Neodiprion lecontei: one gene and its partners. The protein of the gene in region 4 purifies or fractionates together with the protein of the main gene of each other region. This does not show direct contact. Links are inferred from orthologs where the notes say so. Each region holds a gene or a part of one and is shown on either strand. Other genes may lie near its edges.

Region 1 (5,306 bases), on a different chromosome or scaffold from region 4:
CAGTGAGTCAAAAATGAACTTGATCACGTCGAAAAAATATATAACAGTAAAACCTGTTAATGAATTAGGGGAAGTAAAACTACTACTTTGAAATATGACTAACATAAGACCACGGGTTGGGTAGATTTTGTTTAGAAGCTTTCCAAATCTATTTTAGCATACATGAAAAGTAGTGACGGAATTTATAGACACTGATAAGCATTTGAATATCAAAAGCAAAAAGATCCCCCAGGTCATACCGGAAATTGATACAAACTTGGAATATCGATAAAAAGGATAAAATACATTGCACTTTAAACAACTGTGCTCTTGATATGAATACAACTAATGGACTTTCCCTATTTATATCTTTATTTTGGAACGAAAATAAATCCAGCAAGGTATATTTACCTGCAATCTCACCTCCGCCTAAATCGTTGAGGATTTTTCTGTAAGATGGTCTTCTGGTTAGAATATCCCTCCTCTTTTTTGGGGATTCCTCGTCCGAAAAGCTGTCATCACTTCCAGTTTCGACAACCTTGAATGAGTGATAACAGGTATGAGAAAACAATACTCGATGATTCAATTGATTGGGAAAAAATTATTACTCGTTTATAGAATAAGTGAAGATCATATGTTACAAATGCTGACATACCTGTAAAGTTTGTAGGCTGCCTTGCGTCGTTTGTATGACTGAATTGGGCTTACTGACGAGAATGACGTTTGCCTTGGAAAGAGCAACCGGCTGGATGTTTGTAGCAGTCTGAATAACGGACTGCTGGTTTGGCTGTATCACCGATTGTACCTGCAAATGGCGATAAAGAAATAAATGTCACCAGAAGTATCATCAATGAGGTAGTAGCTCAAGACATTAATTGATTACAGGCGAGCAATTCAACGAAAATAATCTATCACAATAAAACCTGTACAGTGAGAAAAGAGAACTATTAGATTCATCAACTAATTTTGTACTTTTCGATAAATACATTTGGCAATGTATAAGTAAACGAAACAAGCGAGAGACACAAGTTTTATAATACATTGGAAAAACTGTGTATGGGCGATATACTTTTTTAAGGAGGATATTTTCGAGTGAATTTTTTGTATCTCACCGGCATTTCGAAATACAACTGATGTACTGAATAGAATTAGAAAAAGAAACATGCCACGTAGATATTTCGATGGTATATTTCGAAATGCCATTACTGTAAATTATTTCGGCTAACTTTCAAACTTGAACGACGCAGGTGGTCGCTCAAAAGTGATCTATGTCAGGTGTGCGGATCACCCTTTGAGGTGATGTGATAAGATAATCAGTTTGCTGGAGATTTACATCGTTGCACTGCGTAACAGTAGTAAAACATACATTGAGTAAAACTAAAGTTCAAACTATGATTACTGAGAAAATCAAAAGTCGATTGAATTGAGATATTAGCAATACAATTTATTATGCATTGAAACACATGTTACGTTAACATGAATCGTTGTTGAAGGTATAAACATCAAATATTGATATAACAATGAAAGTGAGAATTGCAAAATAAATAAGAGAATATTATTTTCATCGTGTACTAAAGAGATGAATCATACGCTTACATTCCTTTCTTCAACCTGAATAAAATTAAAGATTTATAAAAAAGTAGTAACAAATAGTGTACAAACATCAAGGGCCAAAACGAACCAGCATTATGCAAAATTATGAAGTAATGTATCTAATACCTACTACTCGTGAAGTACAGTGAAAATATATGAACGTGTAATTATAAAATAACGAAGCAGAGTAAATAACGAATTAGGTATCGCGGTAAACATGCCTTGAGAGTATGAAGATAACAAATAAGTAACCGCAGAGAAAAAAAGAAGGAATTTGGTTTTGATAAATTAATCAATCAGGCATGGATACACAGGAGCGTGTCCTGTATACCTGCGTTGTCCCTGATAAAGGAAGCGTCAGTTGCACAATGCTGGTCGAAGCCACCAGATGGTGCTGGGATCTACTCAAAGATTGTACCGATGTTGCTATCGCAGGTGCAGCATCTCCACTCTGAGATCCCTGCGACAACGGGTCAACGGTAGATCCGTTTTCTTCAACCATACTTTCCATAGCCTGGGGACCGCTAGCCCTGAAATTCAATTTACGCTTATTAGTTTCGATCAATTGTGACATAGAAATATATAAGGCTGGACGTCACACAAAACAAATATTTTTCTTACATTACATTCGACGAAATCAATCATAAGCTTCAATATACATGTAGTTGATGTAAAATAAAAAAAAAAAAGAAAAGAAAAAGAAACACGAAAACAAAAGGAAAAGCTGTGAAAATATAATATAATTGTCTTACTACTTTCGATCTTGGAATCTTGAATATATCAACACGGGCGGATGTATAACAAAACTTAAAAACCGCATCCACTTAGATAAGCAGCACACTATCGTCACTGATGTTTGGCAGAAAATATTGACATGTGTAACTTGGTAAAACCAGATTATTTGTGTTGAATGATATATTCTTGTTCTTGTTAAAACAGGGTAATGTAAACTATTAGTAAAAGCTTAAATTATAGTATAATGATTAAAAGACTGAAAAAGAAAGTCCTTCATCATTTGACGACAACAATCAACAGTGTAAATGACATTTGTGCAAGTGTAATTTGCACATATTTTTTAAATGAAGCTGCCATTTAAAGTGAAGTTTTGAAACGTGTGCCTTTTTCCCGCCGCGTAAAATTCCTCCAATGCTACTGCGTCATTTACATCAAAGAGGGCTAAAAATAAATAAATGAAGAATATAAAATGATGTTTATTGAGAATGTTTCTTTTTCATCATTCTTCATCCGCGACGAAGCAATGAGTAAACAATCGCGTGAGATGTGACAAGAGTAATATAAAATCGTAACACACAGCAAAAGGATCGTTTTCTAACGGTCGAGTATAACGACGTGTATCGCGTAGTAGCGGGTATGGTTTTAAAGAATTACATATACAAACATGTATCTCGAGACGCCATATTTTGTACCTTTATACACTGTAGACACTCAACTATCCCTTATTTAAGGCTGTAAAATAAAATGCTAACATCCAATGAGCATTTCGGGTCTATCGCAATAACGGTGGTCCATGCTCGGTTGTTATTATTCTCCAGCTGAGTACTTACCAGTTACGTATTCCTCGTCACCAACTTTGCTGCAATCGGAGTGGGCAAACGGGCAAGTACGTAGCAGCCACGTCAAAACTCCAGTGGCTTCGTCACTGGTGGAGCTCACGACGAGTGAACTTCGCGTCACGATCAAAATGGCGCCTGTATAACTCCGCGCGCGTAATGGCGAATGGTGAATGCCGAACCGCTTGATCACTTTTCTTCTTTATTAATTACGGAATTATGTGCTCGTTAACGAACAACCGTCTTCGAGCAGTAGAATCGAAGATATTATTAGTAATTTATGTCCTTAAAAAAAAAAACCCAGATCATACAATTTCATAATTATCCGTTGATAACCAAGCTTGGCAGAACTACTTTTCTTCGGCGAACGGTAACGCGGGAGTCCAAATTAGCACAATCACCACGCTATTGCTCAATACCGTCGTCTTAGTGTTATTGTTTTAAATGTGCGTTTTCAAGAGCCAACAAATCGAAAATACTCGATGAGAATTCGCAACCGAGAAATATACATCCAATGAGTCAATTATTATGTCATAAATATGGACGGCGTCTACCGAAATATCAAAGAAATCGCAAAGTACTTTCATAGGTCAGTTTACTAAAGAACGCGGATGAGCGCTCGTAAAATTTACAGACATTAATCAGTCTCGGTGCTACCCACCGATCAAAGCGTTTTCAGTAATTTCTATGATTTCTTGTTAATTGTATGCTCTTTAAACGCGATTCTTAGCACATGGGTAAGTATACGTGTTTGTCTACGCGCAGTGACCCTCGTCACCCTCGCCCTCGTCTTCGCATATAACTTACAAATCGTGGTAGGGTTGCGCTGACGTCATCCAATGACGTCATTCTACACTTGTATTACTTTCATATGACCGTGATCACAGCTCGCGAGGCTCACGCATTTTACGGACACGTGTACGCACGCACGCGCGCATTCACGTGTGAATCCTGTCCGTGTGTACAATATACATATTTTGCTTGTTTCCTCGCTACGACGATAATGCCTTTCTTATAAATATCCCAAATCATTTTCCTGCGATAACAAATTGGTGGAAATTTCCACTCGAATATCCATTATAAATAAATGCGCGGGCAGCCACTCCGCACAATCTCGCTTGCGAGTGTTCCACACTATGAGTTCAATTGTAATTATAATAATTGAGGAATTTACTGTTGATTGTCTTTATAATGAACAAAATAAATAAATATTTCAAGCGGTTCTGATCAATATTATATCTTATATACTTGTGTATATTTTTAAACACATTTGTCTTTGTTTACAATATTATTCAGATCCGTTGATTGGCCGCGTTGCCGTAATTAATGCAGTCGGGTTGCGAAAATTTCAATTAATCGAAAAATTGTTTTTGTATAAAATAATTATATTACTGCTAAATATGTTTTAAATAACTACTGTACACACTATTAAAATGGGTCTCGAATGCCACAAACGTAACTCTGCAAGTGGTCTGTAGGACGCAATGACGTCATCGGAAAGTGACTCATGCCGTCTGATGCGGATATGCCTGGTCGTTGTTCACATTCAAAGGTGTAACGAAATATGCGCGATCGAGCGTTTTATTATTTTCTCGTAACACAAGTCCAAACCAATGAATAGAAAAAAATAATTCGTTGATAAGTAAACCTACATTACTATGTTATGAATAAATCGCTGCATATTCGAAAAAAAATACGGAAAATTATATATAAAAATATATCGCTAACAAATATTGTTCAATTTTTGAATATCATTTTTAAACTTTACTTTATAAGAATAAAATTCCATACGTAAACGTATTATTCAATTCGCGTGCTGTGATCATATTTGCTAGGAATTTATTTAATTTCGCTTAAAAGGAGAGTGGAGAAGCGATGACGTAATACAACGAGTCAAACGAGCATATTCATTTTCTTATCGCATTTATTGATACCGAAACGTTACGTAAAATCGTAGACATTTTGATATAAGTACGCTTATTACAAAGCATGGTAATAACGCGAATCCCGAATTCGATCGTAAATGTAATGATCTGATGTAGCAAATGATCATTACTCTCTTAATAAAATATACGCTAGCGATTGTGATTCATTCATGTGGTAATTAATACAACGTTATCTGATTAAAAACCGCATAGCGAAGATAATAAACAATTTTATACA
Region 2 (5,177 bases), on a different chromosome or scaffold from region 4:
GAAAAGGTCGAGGAGCGAACGGGGTTTGTTAATTACCAAACTCATTCTATATCCTGGAGTGAAATTCAGCGAAATAGTAGATTTTTCTTCTCCTTTTTCCGTAGCAATTGATTCGGCTGAAAAGCAATCAGTGCTCAATTCGAAAGTCTTTCCTACCCTACAAGTTTCAACGAAACTGGAAAGATAACAAATAGATGTTGCAAATTTTACGAGGTTCGATTGAAATTTACGAAACTCCTGTTAAACTGAATTACGATTAAAATTTGGTTCCTTCCCGTTTTCACAAATGTCACTACTAACAGACTTCCGAAATTTGTACAATGAGAATTGAAACTGATAGTTAAAATCGTGAAGCATCGATCAATAGTGGGCTGAACAACGATGTTTTAGGTACGAAGTATTCGTTTGCGTCGTTAAAAAGATAGACAGCGAATCTTTTTTGGCTTTTGCGGGGATCGGACCTTATCACGTTAGCGAGAGCCCCGAAAAGGCCGTCGACGAAACTGCGGTTTACTTTCCGGCTCCAGGTCTCGTTGAAGAAGTGCCGTCTGACGATGAAGAGAACCTTGAAGGGGAAGAGAACCCGGAAGGACAAACAGAGGCCACTGAAACACCCGAAGCGGTCAGTCTAACAATAACACCATTGTTCATTTCCTTTGTTCCAAAATTGTTTATACCTCATTTGAAATGCGTGCTTACAAGTGCGGAATGATGATCTAATGAATTTATTTTTGGCCAGAATCCTGCCGGATCGTAAATAAACGAGCGAAGCTGATGGCGAGATTCTAGGATTTTAAGGTATTTGTTAAGTTTTAACCAGTAATAGAAATAGTTACAAGAATTGATGAATAAAATTGTATCAAAATATTGGAAGGTAAATGAGGAATTAATAATACAGAAAACCGCAGGTTTGTTAGTTTTTAAATACCGACATTTATTTCGCACCATTCCCTTGTACCAAAGTACGACACAATCGATACACAATCAAGGTATTGAAGTATTAAATGAATATCTATACGTAAAAGTCGTGTACTGATGGCGAAAAAAAAACGACGGCGAAGTAGGATGGTTTACTTCTTGTAACCGCAGCTACGCCTGCGTCCCCTGGCACGTTCAAACTTACGTCCCTTTGAGCGTACAAGTGGCTTAGTGTGAGAATGTGGCACTCCGGGTGCTGGCCCGAAGTGTTTGACTGCTTCACGAGCATTCCTGCGTCCCTGCATCAAAACTGTGTTCTTTCCAGTCGGTGAACGTAGCGCCAGTTGATCAAAAGTTATCAACTCTCCGCCAGCCTTCAAGATACGTCCTCGCGCTTTTGCAGTAACACGGAGTGCGCATACCTACCGAAATTGACCGAATTTAATGAGGGCCAAGTAAATGATAGATTATAAATTACAGTTCGGTGTTTTGCGCAATTACAACAGGCAGCTATTCTTTTCGAACGAGATCCTGCAAAAGTCCTGAATAAAGGGATTTTCTGTTAAAATTGTATCGGGTTGACGTAATAGTACAAACTTTGAAGGAAAACTCAGAAACAGAGAATTGAATATTAAATCGCAATAACTAACTTAGAACAATAACAAGAAAAAAGATGAAAAATAATGTCGAAACATGGATTGCCTGCAAATTAACAAATTTATCACCAAGAATTGAATCGAAAAAATATCAGTTTACCGTCAATTTGGGTACTTCCAAAATTCTGGCATCATCAGTGACAGTTCCAACGATGACTGCGATTCGGTTAGCACGACCCTCTTTCTTCATGAACCTGATAATACGAGCCAGTGAAATCGGCGGACGGTTGATTTTGCTCATAAACAAACGCTTGAGGATGATCTTATTGAACTTGGAAGTAGTACGCCTGGCCAAGAAGCGGTACAACTGCGAAAGGATATTGCATGAAACTATCAGCATTGTCCATTTGGTAATATATTGCATTTCAGCAATTCATTTGAAAAAAAAAAACTTACATTTTGTATCGACCTTTATAAGGAACTTTTGACAACAGGAAGCCAAAAGTCTGAATAGGAAAATCGATTCCTTCGTTTTCTCTAGCGAACGTTCAAATTGAACCAGCTTATGAATAAACTGACACAGAGTGCAGTTCGCAACAAGTTATAGATATACTTTTTTGTAATAATTGACATCACAATGGTGAAATTTAATTTTTTCAAACATCGGATCAGATAATATTTAATTTACCATCAACGCTGCAAGCAAATACGAAATGATACATCTCTCATTTTTCAAATAACATCAGGTCTCTTTCCAATAGAAATCTGCTATATGTGTACATCTTTTTACTGTTATAACCTTTATTATCACATGCAATTATGATAGTAATCAATTTATTACACTTACTCAACAAGAAATGATAATTTTCTTTCTTTCTTTACTTGTCTTTTGGGTTTCATCAAATGTGATAATTACCACATTAAACGTAGTAAAACTTTAGAATATAAGCGGTAGTAATACATCGCAGTCAAATCACGGTTGTCAGGACCTACTATCTTATATGAAGTCAGATATAACATAGTCACGGTGTTGCGACCACCTAAGATAATGCGAAACATCAAAAATGTGGAAACAAACCGGAAAACAGCTCGACAGAGTGGAACATAACAACCACACAACTGCTGAAGGTTAGTTTGCAAAAAAAATATAGAATTTTCTGACAGACAAATCGGATATCATATTGGCGTTGGCACGCAATCGATAAATAAGTTTGTTCACGGAAAATTGTAGAAATGTGCAATTCTTGAATTGGATCGCTTCATAAATTGGTGTTGAACACGTGTTTTCGGCAAGGAATAAACAGCCGTGAAACGGTCAACCAATTAAAACTTAACCTAACCTAGCACAGCTTGAAAGCTGAAAGATCTTATGTAAAAAATCCTATCAGACTTGAAAATTTCGAAGTTTGGAAGTGTTTTTGAATTGATGCAGGCAAATAATGAGGAGAAGTGAAATGTTCAAGCAAATGAAAGAATAAATACCTTGACGAGAAGCCTGAGATACACGTCCTGCGACTTGGGCTCGGTTCGCCGAACCTTACGGTCATGTTTATGGTTGATGTCGATACCCTATGCAGAAAATCCATTTTATTAATACACCTCCTACAGGATCACTTTATGCACAAGTCATCATTATCCCGTATTTAACAGATGCCAAGGGATTACGTGGAGCGTACAAAATATGTTCACCATCTTACCATTTTGACACACCGGAAAAAGAAACTGACGCCGATTAACGTGAACGGCGATGAAAGAGAGAGTGGAACAGATGGCAGCACTGCTGGCTGTTGACTCTTTCCGGTCAATCTTGAACGCAGCCGCGAGTCGCGAGAATTCGAAATTACACCACTTATCCGTACTTATCGGATTTTTCTCAAAACCGTATACTGCATAGGGTAAGGTATTTATTTTATCCTGCCGTGTTTTTAAAGCGAATAAAATTCCACAACGGAGAACATGTTTGAACTGTGTATTCTGTTATCAGTATTAGGCATTTTTATAACAAATATTTAAAGTATTGAAACGATCAAATTTACGAACGCGCGACACTTTTTTTTAACTTTGCAGTTTCATGCGCTGTATGCAATGGGAGGCGTTACCTTCATTTCACCATTCTATTAGAATTGTAGATTTGTGAAATCCGTATTTACATTATATTTGCATTTTACAAGGTTATCATAATTTCTCAACGGCAAAACTAGAAGCTTCCAAAACCTGGTTGAACTAATCACAGTTCCAACATGTGACTTTATTTTATAAAAATGTTTAATGGTCCGTTACGGACATTGTCGGTAACTGAATAACTTGCACTGTCTGAATTATATCCAAAATTATAGTATCGAATCAATTTTCATTCGTAGATATATCGATTTATTGAAGTGATTGAAAGAAATACATCATCACTCACAATCGGCGCAGAAGTCTGCACACCTAAAAATTCTATAATTCAATATATTAATCATTATTTCAATACGAAAAGTGTAAGCACTTATAGGTCGGTAACAGTACAAAATTTTCGTACCAAAGTTTCCCGCCCCATAACCTCACCAATGAAAAATGTTTCAACGGAGTGTAACTAGGTGGCATCACAATTCTAAACCAACTTGGAACTCTGTGACAAGCATTTCCCCCTCATGACAGCATGCTTTCAGCAACGAGCGTTGTGACAAGTTTTCCGACAAGCACTTATGCCGCGGTCGGTGAATCGGTGCATTCGCATTGCTGATAATTAGCATAAACACTTAGAAAGGCAAGTGGGTAGTGGGGAACCTCCATGCACACCTGCTCGTTGTACGCAGCCGTACGGCGCCGGAGTGGCGAAGGGCTCCGAGGGTCGCCGGCGGCGGGGGGGTGGGGGGGGGGGGGCATGAGACTATAGACGGTATCGAGACCAACTTCAAGAGATACGAGCGACCCGGCGATCAGTGCGTAGGATCCCGTTAGCCGTGTAACGAGGTGTTGCTGTCGCAGTGCAGCACACGAGGCGGGCCCCGCGCAATCGACTGACTGGTTTCCGAGTCGAAAAAAGGACGTGTTAATAGTAAACAAACGAATAACAGAAGGCGGTTGTTTTTCGAGTGGACGATTTTATAAAGTATTATTATACAGCGCGATATTCGCGGCTTCCTAATCTTTGTCGCCGACTGTAATTCGAGCTGGGTTTGTTGCGAAAACAACGACGTGCTGTCCGGGTGAAGGAACTTCTGAACACTTTGGCTGTCGGGGGTTAAATCATGACAGAGTTGGTTGTCACTTGCCACCTGAGCAACGGACAACTATGAAGCGTGGGGTATTTCGCCACTCGCTGCTGCATCCTATCGACGCGAATGTGCAGGTGCCGTATATACGCACACTATTGAGGATTACGGCGTGAAACGAGGTTCGAGGCCTACCGATTATTGCCTCAATCTTATTTTGCAAAAGGCGGTTTAATCTTATCGTGAATTCTCCTCGGCGTGCAAATGCTATGCGGATTTATTATCCATCGCGCCGTATTCTAACCGTTTATCTGATATAAACACTGGTTCGATTTTTTTTTCGTTGATATTTTCGCAATGTGTGTGCGCGTGTTCGTCAGTTTCTCTGTATGCAATAATGGAGTAAAGTTTCATTCGCACAAGTAACGATATCATTGTTAATAAAGCAAGTAACGAGATTTCGTTG
Region 3 (5,348 bases), on a different chromosome or scaffold from region 4:
GATAGGATACAGAGGATGGTTACATGTTGAATCATAAAATTTATATAGCAGTTTATATACAGAGTGAGTTGCTATCGACTGCATAATCCGTCATAGGCTAAAATTCAACGCATCAGGACACGTATTACAAATGATATGTCACAGTTACAAACAAAAATATATTACGTCAACTTTTTCAAGATAAATCAAAACATTTCATGACTTTTCCAGAACTAAAGGAGCAATTTGTGTTTTCCAGGATAATCCCAAGATTTAAGGATATTTCAGGAGCAGTAGACACCTTGTCTATGATCAATAACACGTATTTGAACCATCACCAAATTTATAGACTTAGAGGGAAAAGAGCAAAGTCACTAACTGTCCATATCACGTTTGAATACAGTATTTTACTAACCTTTTCACGCTTGGGAGCGATAGCATCCAATTCATCGATAAATATGATGGCTGGTGAATTTTTCTCAGCCTCTTCAAACGCCTTTCGCAAATTGCTCTCGGACTCACCAGCAAGTTTGCTCATAATCTCAGGTCCTATCGATATGAGAATATAAGGTTTAATTTTATGCATGTGACTTGAACATTAAATCCCATTCAAAGATGCTCATAGAATAGTGCTGAGAGTTATATCAAAGCATTTATAAACCAATTCGCAATATGATTACCATTAATAAGGAAGAAAAAGGCGCCAGTTTCGTTTGCAACTGCACGTGCAATGAGGGTTTTTCCTGTTCCCGGTGGTCCATAGAGCAATATACCGCGTGGTGGTTTGACTCCGATTGCTTTGAAGAGGGACGGGTGCCGCAGTGGTAGCTCTACCATTTCTTTAATTTGAGCCAACTGCTTGCGAACACCACCAATATCGTCATAGCCAACAGCATTGAGAGCTTCCTCTTCTTCCTGCGAATTGACAGCGCACGGAGAATAATTGGAAGCATTGTAAGATGCACTAACACCGAATATTAACATCTTGGACGATTGAAAGTTAAGTCACTCGGGTGTAGAAAGTGCTTTATGTAGCCATTGATGTTTACACATTGAATTATGCTTTAGCTAGTTAAATTTATCTGCAATAAAAACATTATAATCAAATTATAAATCAAGTACACACCTCTCGCTTGATTGGATCTCCCTCGCAATGTATCACTGTATCTGGAGCAACGATACAATACGGGCCTGGATCAGTCTCAACTACTTTAAATTCTACAGCGCGCATTCCTCCGCGTACGATGAAGTTGTCATCTTTATGGATTGGGCGATATGCCTCAAGGAAGTATGGTTTCAAATACACCTCGAACAAATTTCTGGCAAGAAAAAATTATTTGTGTTAGTAAGAATGCCAACAGACCAATAAGTGTGTATACAAGTTTTCAAATATCTCACCCAGTAAGACCTTCGACAGTGTCGTCCATGGGTAGAACATGGATACGTTTGCCATATTTAACATCCGGGCAAGCTTGAACGGATACAACGTCGCTAAGTCTGACACGCAGATTGTTTCTGACGACACGGTTCATATGTATCTTCTCATCTGGACATGTGTCGTCTGATAGTACGATGCACACGGTTTCCTTGCGCCTTTTTCCTTTCAAAAGTACGGTGTCACCGCGAAACAATTGTAGCTCATCCATTTTTTCCTGCGAGAGGCCGACGACTGAATTGTCATCATTGATCGCCTCTGCCACCAGAAGCCTGTTTGGCCTGTCCTTCTTGCGCAAAATCGCAGTCGCGAGATCATCTCCACTAGAATAATAGTAAGGTAAAAAATTAAGTAAATATTGCCAATTCTTTGTAGATTGTTTAGTATTGCTCGGTATATTATCGTACTTTACAAATATTGTTTTCAACAGTCAGACGTAATTGGAAGTTGGAATAAAAAATGGCAATATGTGAAAGGTGTCCCGATCATAATACTGACTATATTCTCAAGATACTTCAATACTCTAAGACTTTTGTCTACAATCAAATTTCATTATGTGTATATTTATTATTTAATTTGTGTCTGCCCGTTATGAAGAGATTGTATTCCTAATAGGTTCTAAGTTTTTGAAACTGAATTTCATTTCTCTACCTTGAGCACATTGTTCTAAAATAATTCTAATGATTAATATAAATTACAGTAAGATATAGCAATCAGTAATACACATTTCCAATCCCATCGCGCAATTGAAAGTAAATACTTTATGCATGTCATGGAGTTTAAAATAGAAATGATTTTTCTTCCGATCAGTGCGTCAGAAGTGGGGAAAATAGCTGAAGCCATAAAAAAAAACTTTAAATAACATACTACAAAATCGGCGAGTTTTAACAGGTTTTGAGAAACAGATGCTCTGTGATCTTTAGAATTTAATTTATTTTAGAATGACTAAAAAGTGGACTCAAAATTGATTACTTTCAATACAACATGTCATCATCGAGATGAGACTCACACAATGGTAACACAGATAAGTATAAGGTCAGATAAAAAATTTTGGGACCAAGAGCGATAATAGAAAAAAATTCAATATGAGTCTATTTTTCTTTTCTACTTTCAGGGTAGGAAACGAAATAAGGCAAGTATATACAGACAAGATTCTAGGTATTTTGATACTAAATAAAAAGTTATTCCTACGTGAATATACAATACATCCTTTAAGGACAAATTGCAGAAAGGTTGAAAAATGTTAACTATCATAATAAATGATCAAAGTGATCGTCGAGTAGTAATTGCAGCAATTGTGATAACGTAGGTTATTATAACAGTAATATTAACAGGAATAATAATAACAATAATGACTGTGAAACAGGATTGAATATACGAGCAATTTGACAATGAGAAATACGTAGGAATTCCAAAACTGTATTAATGACTTCCTAGTTAGTCTCTGTCCACTTGAGCTTAATTTTTTGTCACGTCAAATTTTTGTTTCATCGAAAAATCCTTTGTCATGTTACGCCTGCTGTGCGGCCATGACCGCACGGTCCGCAGGTGTAAATAAGATAAATGGGTATAAAACAGCACGAAAATAAGCCAAAATTTAATCCGTATTGTGAAATAATGAATACCTTTACAAAGAGCCGGGCGAATTGGGAGAATAGAAAGTATAAGAAATTCGTTAAACTTGAGTCGGCGTCGACATGATGACAACGTAAAATTTGGAAGCGTAGAGGCCGTGAATTGAGGGTATTGGAAAAAATAGTAACCGATCGGATGATATCGTGTACATATTATCGAAAATACGACCTGCTGAAACCGGACTTAATACCATTGTATTATTCAATACGCTTACCTCTTAGGATCACTCATATCTTATTTTTTTTTAATAAACTTGGGAAAAAAATGCAAACGTTACAATCACGATCCCCCTTCGCAACTAACACGAGTCACAGACAGCCAGCTAACCCAATGAACATCCTCCACTCACATCTGTCATGGCCGCTTATTCGCGTTCGCGAACCCATCTCAAATTGTTCCAATATTCGATTCTGCACAGTCATATAACTTTCATCAAGTTTTATAACGCAATTGCAATTTTTGGATTTGTTTTACTCCGGTGAAATCCCGAACTGATTATTCAGAAACTGTGATTAAACATTTTTCATAGTATTCGGTAATCGAATATTGCATATTCGGAGTAATTCTGTTCATGAGAGGTTGAAAACCGATGAATATGATTAATAGGTTTATCTTATAAGTCGTGTAATATCCACCTTTAATAAGCACACATCTGCCTATACGCGTGCTTGATCAAAAATAGAACAATCTGAAAAACAGTGCAAATAATCACCGGAGCACTTCAGAAAAATTCATATTTATTATGTCTCATACGTGGAATGACTGCAAACCGAATTCGCGGTAATTACTGGCGGTAATCAGTCATTCGTTGACTTTCGTTAAATTTCTTAGCGGACAGAAAAAAAAATCATTAGTCATTGGCTATAACTCGTTTCGTGTCACAGCCACGCAGTTCAGTGTCATTACCAGTCGTTACTGATGCCGCACGTCATTTTATACCTTATTGTTAGAGCAATGAGCATATTGTATCTGTGTTATATACATACACATGCTCTAAGTATTATGTATATATGTAAAGTGTGTACATAAACGATCATTAGGTTACAATTGTTGTTTTATAAACGACCCGTCATTTAAATGCTTCGTTTTTTATAAGTATTAGTTGGGAAGCTAAACAAACGCACCCATTCAGGTCATATTTATTGTATATTGGAAAACTGGGTACAGCTTCAACAGTTCTCATACATCTGCAGTAAAACCTGATGCGATTTATCGAAATGCTGGAAATTTGAACATAGATCGAAAAATTATTCTAATCTGAGGCTTTCCGACGTCCATTCAAAATTCAAGAAAATCTTAAATCTTGACATAACTATAATTTGAAATTGCCGATATCTGAGAACTATAAAATACGAGAAATTTTGAGTATGAAATTTATACTAGCAAATTTCACCATAAACAAAGATTTATTTTGATGGTTTCATGTAAATGAAATGAGGAGCCTGTTCTTCAATTTTTTTTAAATTCACATCGACTACAAACAGAGCTATAAAAGCATTTTATTAATTAATCCAGCGGATTATAATAGTGTTCAAATAATATTATGCGGGAATTACTCCTTGCTAAAGGAGATCCAATTTACTATAGAAATTCTTGTTAATAAGAAACCCCAAACACATCGTAATATCAAAAATGTGGCCACGTTTTCAAATCAAAAGTGTTTTATCTTCAGTTATCTTAAAAAATGGATGAGCTGGTGAGTCATTTGCAGCCATATTCAGGGCTTGGCTGTCATCTTGCTGCTTGATAATTCCTAAATGGAGTAGGATTTCAAGAACAATAATTTGAAAAAAGGATTGCGTCAAACAATGGCAGGAATCAAAGGTGATAAATATCTCGATTATCAAATATATGCAATTATCTTCTTCCTTTCGAGTAGATGACGTACAGAAATCGTATTCTAATCGACTAATCATAAACATGAGTAAATAACATTGGGTTGACACATAACCTCAACACTTGTCAGCGGACTCCGTGTATTCACGTCTCTTTTGTTCGCTGCCTTTCTAACACAATCATAACTGGATTAGAAATTGCAGCTCATTGATTTTCGTGTCCTTCCCTTTTCTTCGAACTTTTCTCTCCATGCGTCATTAATCAATTCCGACAAGTTGTAATATTACGTCAATTTAACAAAAGTGCTATGATAAAAAGTAGGTTTTGCCTATATCTTGACCTTTCATTCAACAAGAAACCAAAATCACTTTGCCTCGTATCTTTGCTCGCATTAAGTTCTAATCCTTACAACTAGCAACAGAACTATTTTATTTTCAACCTCTTAGTCTACTAATTCCAGCTT
Region 4 (5,580 bases):
AATTCTTGTTTTCACCTTTCTGATTAAAAGTTACTATTATAATATCCATTTGAAAATAAGACTAGAGTTGGTGGCTAGCTTCACTAACCCCAATTAGATCAAACGTATTGTTTCCAAGATTTGAACACAATTCGAAATAACAGCACGAAAAATTGGCGTCCAGCTATAGACAATTCCCTTGGGGATTCAGAGAGTTATTCTCCAGTCCTCAACTCGGCCCCACTTTATAATCATTATAAACTATGTACCAACTGCATGTTAATTTAAATTTAAGATAATCTATAAAAAAGAGAGATACGATATCAAATAATCACGACCAGCTAGTTATAAGCATCGTTCAGGATAGATGTTCTTGGTATCAAATAATAATATTATTTAGAATCGAATAACACACGATTTGCTCAAACACGCAAACGGTCAAAATTAGTAATTCTGCAGCTTCTCTGCATTTTTAATATAAATTCGTCCGTCGGCGTGGATTGTTGTATAAACTCAAACACTTTATAAATTGTTACTTTCAGCTTCTACGTCATTATCGTCATTCATTGTTACCAAACATTTCAATCACCGAATCGTTGCAGAATATACTTTATCTTTTACCAGTTAAATCATTTCAAACCATTTATTTTAAACGACCTTTTCCCATTTTCATTATTATAAATTAGCCTCAACAATTTGAACAAGCCTCACAGACCTGTACAGGACTATAGCCACACGATCCTACAAATTACTGGCTTATCGAGAGGTAGGTCTTTCTTAGTTTTAATTTTTATTCATTGTCGTTACGTGGGAGCATCTTTGATTATTCATTAATCATTAATTACCACCGCTCGGTACACTTTCACCCCCACGTAACACCGTTCTCGAGATATTCGCGATTTTAGATTCGAAAATTAGAATCAAATTAAAATTAAAAAATAAGAATCCAGGGAAGTCCTTAGAACGGACTAATTACCTGCCCGATTCAAGTTCCCTTCTAGGAAACCTCCAAAATTTCGTTAGTTTTGCCGTATCTATCACCGTTCCCGAGATAATCGCGATTTAAAATCTGAATTAGTTACATTGATAGGAGTTATTAATTATAATAGAAAATATAAATCCCCCCCCCAAACCTGATTTCGAATTTCGGCTATTTTTTCTGATCGACCAAGTCGCGGTTTCGCGTCTCCTCGCGGGAATGATCGAGCTGATCGACCTATGGGGGGTAATGTCAGTTGGCCTCCCCGTGGCATCCCCTGGAAATACTCGTGAGCAAACTAGTAGCTAATAACTGACAACACAACGTACGTCATCAATATACAAAACAGTAATCAGAATTATAAGTTTCAAGTATTTACGTCTCAACTTATTGCATGATCTTTTATATCAACAATTCAGATGAATAAGGAACTAATAATAAGTATATATTATGAAACTCGTCTCAAAAAGCACAATTATAAAGCCACGTAAGACGGTCCCGGCCGTCTATGAAGTGATATGAAAATACGTCATATAGCTATTTTAGCGAGAAGAAAAATGCTAGAGAATGTAAATTCGAAAATTTTTAGTGATTTGAAAAATTAACGACGGAGCCAGGAATCGAAACTGTTGTTCTTATATAATGATTAACAAATATAATTATTTCGATAATTATGAAAATTTTTCATGTCTCCAATTAATTCAATGTATTTAATTCTGCAAGACATTTTGGTCGAATACAGAGAAATAAGGGCAAGCGATTTTAGGAAAATTATGTCGCATTGAAAAGGCATATCCGTATTATTGGAATAAAATAATGACTGTGTCGATAAAGACATGGTACTAACATTTACAATCGGTACGTAGTTTTACGTACTCACTTCGTACCGTCTCAATTTCAAGCTTCCATACCGACACTACCTTGGCTGCTACGAATGTCGGTACAAGTCCGTTAGGTAGAGTCGATAGAGCAGAAACCTCCTACGCTCCCAGGCCCACCTGGGCCCACTTGCCCGCCGAAAACTGATACACAAAAATTTACCCAGGGGTACTGTCTTTATAGTCTTCAGTCAACGCTCTCTCTCTCTCTATCGCTCCATCTCTAGTTAACGTGTATGTGTGGTACACTACTATTTTCGTCTTCAACTATTTATTCAACACACAAGGCACACACGGTTGTGCATACATGTAATAATAATAACAACACGGCATATGCATACGTACGTACATAGGCGCGCGTGTGCACGTATAAACACGCATACACGGGGAAATATAGTATTTGTAAAATATGTGTATACAGATAGGTGTGAGTGTGTTTGTGTATATGTATATATAATATATATTTGTATACGTATGTATCTACGGTTGTGTATATGATGTACGTTATTTAGCCACGGCACTGTGTTTTAAAAAGGCACTTCGATAAACACCCGACACTTCAGCTCGCTCTCCCTGGTTCCTCGACAGCGGCGATACTTTGCGATAGTTGTTTAAATCAGGACGAACTCCGAGGGAGACGAGGAACGATGCACTAGATCTGTTGATACACCGGTGAATAATTAAACTACGTCTATTACTAATACTACTGCTACGCATAAAGAGGCTAGGCGGAGGAAGAGGGGCAAAACAAGAGACGACCGTCTCCGACCGGAGGACCGACCGACCGACCGACCGACTGTCCGACCGATCAAGACACAGTGCCGCGCACAAGAAGAGACAGACACCAGTCTGGATCTTAACTATGCGCCGCGTCGCTGAAACGCCGTGCCCAGGCAAGGCGTGTGGCCTGGCCTGGCCTGTTGCTTTTTCTTCAAGATTTTAGGTGGAGGGGAATATATGTACGTACGTAGGTGGGTAGGTACATAAGGATCTATCGTCGTGTTGGTGAGGAGGTGGAGGTAGCGGCGTTGCTAGCGTGATTGTAGTGTGGTGACCGCGGAGGAATCGACGACGATGGGTAGCAGCAGCAGCACCAGGAGCAGCGGCAGCGCGCGCACGCACATTCTCTTTCTTACGCGATAACAAGTAATTCCATTGTTGTTATCGATCCAGCGGAACTGTGAACATCGTTCAGATGTCTTGATACAACTGTAGTCCGATTGAACCGCTTACTTCACGATTCAACTTTTCTTTGTCAACCGCACAACGCTAGGAACGGTCCCCGTTTTATCATTCAGGGAATACACACTTGCTTGTTACAACCCTCCTGCTGCAGGTCACTAATTCCTACGCGGCACATACGATGGATCGCGATCGCCCCGACAACGCTACCTCCTCTAAACCCTACCGCCATACTCTACGAGCACCGCACGCACACTGATCACGGCTGGCTCGCCGAGAGTAGTTTGGATTTCCGACGAGAGGCTTACGTGCTCGCCTGCTAGCCTGCCCGTTAAACGATACACCGCTCACTTCGGACTCGTAGACGCGGGAGTTTCGAAAATCCATGATTTGGAAGAGAGATAATCGAACGCTTGTTTGCAACAATTACAATGTTCGAAAGCTGACGAGTTGAACATAGGTTCTGATCTAAATATCAAAGTCCACCTATCTCACACACGAACGAAGGATTAACAGCCCTATTTTGTACGCTATTTCGAACAAAAACACTCCAATACATTTTCATTTGATGCAGAAATAAAGAAATATATGGTATGAATTCTACGATTTGACTGTTCGATTTCGTAGAATCTGGGCCATTTCTTTATTTCTGCGTCAAATGAAAAATGTCTAGGACTGTTTTTGTTCAGAACTGTGTATAAAATAAGGCTATTAAGTATTTTTTCGTTTTCGAGATACGTGGCCTTTGATATTTGGAGATATATCCGTGAACGTTGAAATCGAACAGGGCATCTAGGGAGAAATAGAATATGATCAGACGTAACCGATTTTTGCATCACGGTAACATCGGTCTTAATTGGCATCGTAATTCTGTTTTTCTTCTTTCTCTTCCCTCGTAGGCTATCCTCTGTACCGTTATTCAGGATGAGAATAATACCGTGTGAAAAGCCACTCTTATTTAGGCACAGATAAAAAGTCTCCGATTGTTACTTGCAAGAATATCGATGATTAATGTGTTTCATAATTGATTAATTTTCCTTCATACGGTAGCTGTGATTAAAGATAATGAGTTGTAAAGACCTTTCGACTGTAAAATGCTCGATTGAAACGCTTGAAACGTTTGAAACTTTGACTGAAGTAATTATTCGGCCCCTCACTCTGACATCAGTCGGAGTTATAATGAACTAAGGCAGTCTAACTATACAGCTAGTCAATAAATATATATTTGCTTCGGTTACAGACAAATAAGAGTTGAAAGTCTATGGACGTCTTGATCAAGGGTTTCGATATTTCAGTTGTGGTTAAAATTAATTTTATTGTCAAAAAATGTAATATTAGTTATTTGAATTGAATATGATTTTATTATCAACGTATAGTGTATTTTTGACGTATTAGTTCGTTATTTGCGTAGTGAATGTGTGTTCTTTTTTTTTTATCCAAGTTAATATTAGACTGACGTAAAAACGAAGATGTCTTCTAAAAGGTATATATGTATATTTATTTAATTGTTTTCCTTTTTTTTATCTGGACCCGAATGAATCCTACCCTTATATGTATGCGTCAAAATAGTTCCAATTTTCGAAATGATGCCGACGATTCAAAACAATAATTAGAAAGACAGTTAAGCTGTAAATTATTCCAAACAATCTCCATTTCACTCGAAAATTACATATTTACAAATTAGCAATAACAGTACTATCGAAAACCTAAAATTGTTTTCTTTCTTTGTTAACCTTTGTCACTGTAAACTACTCTTCATTGCTTACTCCGTTCACAATATATTTGTTATGTTCTTCAACCGATTAAGTTGCATTAATGAATTTCATACATGTCTAGTCTGACTCCAAGGTCCATTCTCTCAAGGAATGAACTAACGGAAAAATATATTCCCACTCCAAACTTGCCTTTGGGTCAATCTTTATTTTACTTCTCAGGTTTTGCAAACAGATAGTATGTACGCAAATCTTGTCAAATATTTACAATACGTCATTCCAATCTCTAATGAACCACCTTTGATTTAAGTCCAACCTCTATGTCTGTCAAACATGACATTGGATTACTTTATTTTTAGAAACAATATGACAAAGCCATCTTACAATCAGAGAGATTAAAATTTTGAACAGACGCTAAAAAATTCCTTCTACCTTTACAGTGAGTTGAAAAAGTTATCCGAGGAAAGCTTGACACGACAACCCGAAGAGGTTTTTGACATAATCTGCAAGCTTGGTGAAGGGTGAGCGTTACTTTGAGAGAATTCTACTTAGTAATCTAATTATTAGTGTGCCATACTAATTTAGTATAATTTGGATGTCTTTTAAGATATGGCTCAATGTTTGTTTCAGATCTTATGGTTCCGTTTATAAAGCATTGCACAAAGAGAGCGGGCAGGTGCTTGCGATCAAGCAAGTACCTGTGGATACGGATTTACAGGAGATAATAAAGGAGATTTCAATAATGCAGCAATGCGATTCACCGTATGTAGTGAAATACTATGGAAGTTACTTCAAGAACACGGATTTATGGGTATGAATTGAATTTCGTGAGTTACGTGAATGTTATCGG

What was found. Proteins that work in one complex are often made in the same cells at the same time.
Region 1: the proteins of transcriptional coactivator yorkie (region 4) and cyclic AMP-responsive element-binding protein 1 purify together in Homo sapiens (affinity purification with western blotting, with the first as the bait; 3 studies listed by BioGRID). This does not show direct contact. The link is inferred for Neodiprion lecontei from reciprocal best matches to the Homo sapiens genes YAP1 and CREB1.
Region 2: the proteins of transcriptional coactivator yorkie (region 4) and 60S ribosomal protein L18 purify together in Homo sapiens (affinity purification with mass spectrometry, with the first as the bait; 4 studies listed by BioGRID). This does not show direct contact. The link is inferred for Neodiprion lecontei from reciprocal best matches to the Homo sapiens genes YAP1 and RPL18.
Region 3: the proteins of transcriptional coactivator yorkie (region 4) and transitional endoplasmic reticulum ATPase TER94 purify together in Homo sapiens (affinity purification with mass spectrometry, with the first as the bait; 3 studies listed by BioGRID). This does not show direct contact. The link is inferred for Neodiprion lecontei from reciprocal best matches to the Homo sapiens genes YAP1 and VCP.

What each region holds. Positions count from the first base shown.
Region 1 is NC_060264.1:3,829,613-3,834,918, forward strand, and holds the start of cyclic AMP-responsive element-binding protein 1, read right to left. Parts: upstream 3,414-5,306; 5' UTR 3,138-3,413; intron 3,055-3,137; exon of another isoform or gene 3,040-3,054; 5' UTR 3,000-3,039; intron 2,614-2,999; exon of another isoform or gene 2,325-2,613; intron 2,103-2,324; 5' UTR 2,084-2,102; coding exon 1,904-2,083; intron 785-1,903; coding exon 635-784; intron 518-634; coding exon 391-517; intron 1-390.
Region 2 is NC_060264.1:27,197,548-27,202,724, reverse strand, and holds 60S ribosomal protein L18, read right to left. Parts: upstream 3,360-5,177; 5' UTR 3,215-3,359; coding exon 3,212-3,214; intron 3,084-3,211; coding exon 2,997-3,083; intron 1,882-2,996; coding exon 1,675-1,881; intron 1,341-1,674; coding exon 1,071-1,340; 3' UTR 914-1,070; downstream 1-913. Other genes in the region: thioredoxin-like protein 1, read left to right, coding at 1-23, 391-622, 740-757.
Region 3 is NC_060264.1:28,581,722-28,587,069, reverse strand, and holds the start of transitional endoplasmic reticulum ATPase TER94, read right to left. Parts: upstream 3,414-5,348; 5' UTR 3,281-3,413; coding exon 3,264-3,280; intron 1,738-3,263; coding exon 1,378-1,737; intron 1,299-1,377; coding exon 1,106-1,298; intron 895-1,105; coding exon 660-894; intron 529-659; coding exon 395-528; intron 1-394. UniProt on the Homo sapiens protein: Necessary for the fragmentation of Golgi stacks during mitosis and for their reassembly after mitosis. Involved in the formation of the transitional endoplasmic reticulum (tER).
Region 4 is NC_060261.1:34,667,010-34,672,589, reverse strand, and holds the start of transcriptional coactivator yorkie, read right to left. Parts: upstream 3,283-5,580; 5' UTR 1,806-3,282; intron 1-1,805. Other genes in the region: serine/threonine-protein kinase 3, read left to right, coding at 4,847-4,968, 5,171-5,251, 5,361-5,541. UniProt on the Homo sapiens protein: Transcriptional regulator with dual roles as a coactivator and corepressor. Critical downstream regulatory target in the Hippo signaling pathway, crucial for organ size control and tumor suppression by restricting proliferation and promoting apoptosis.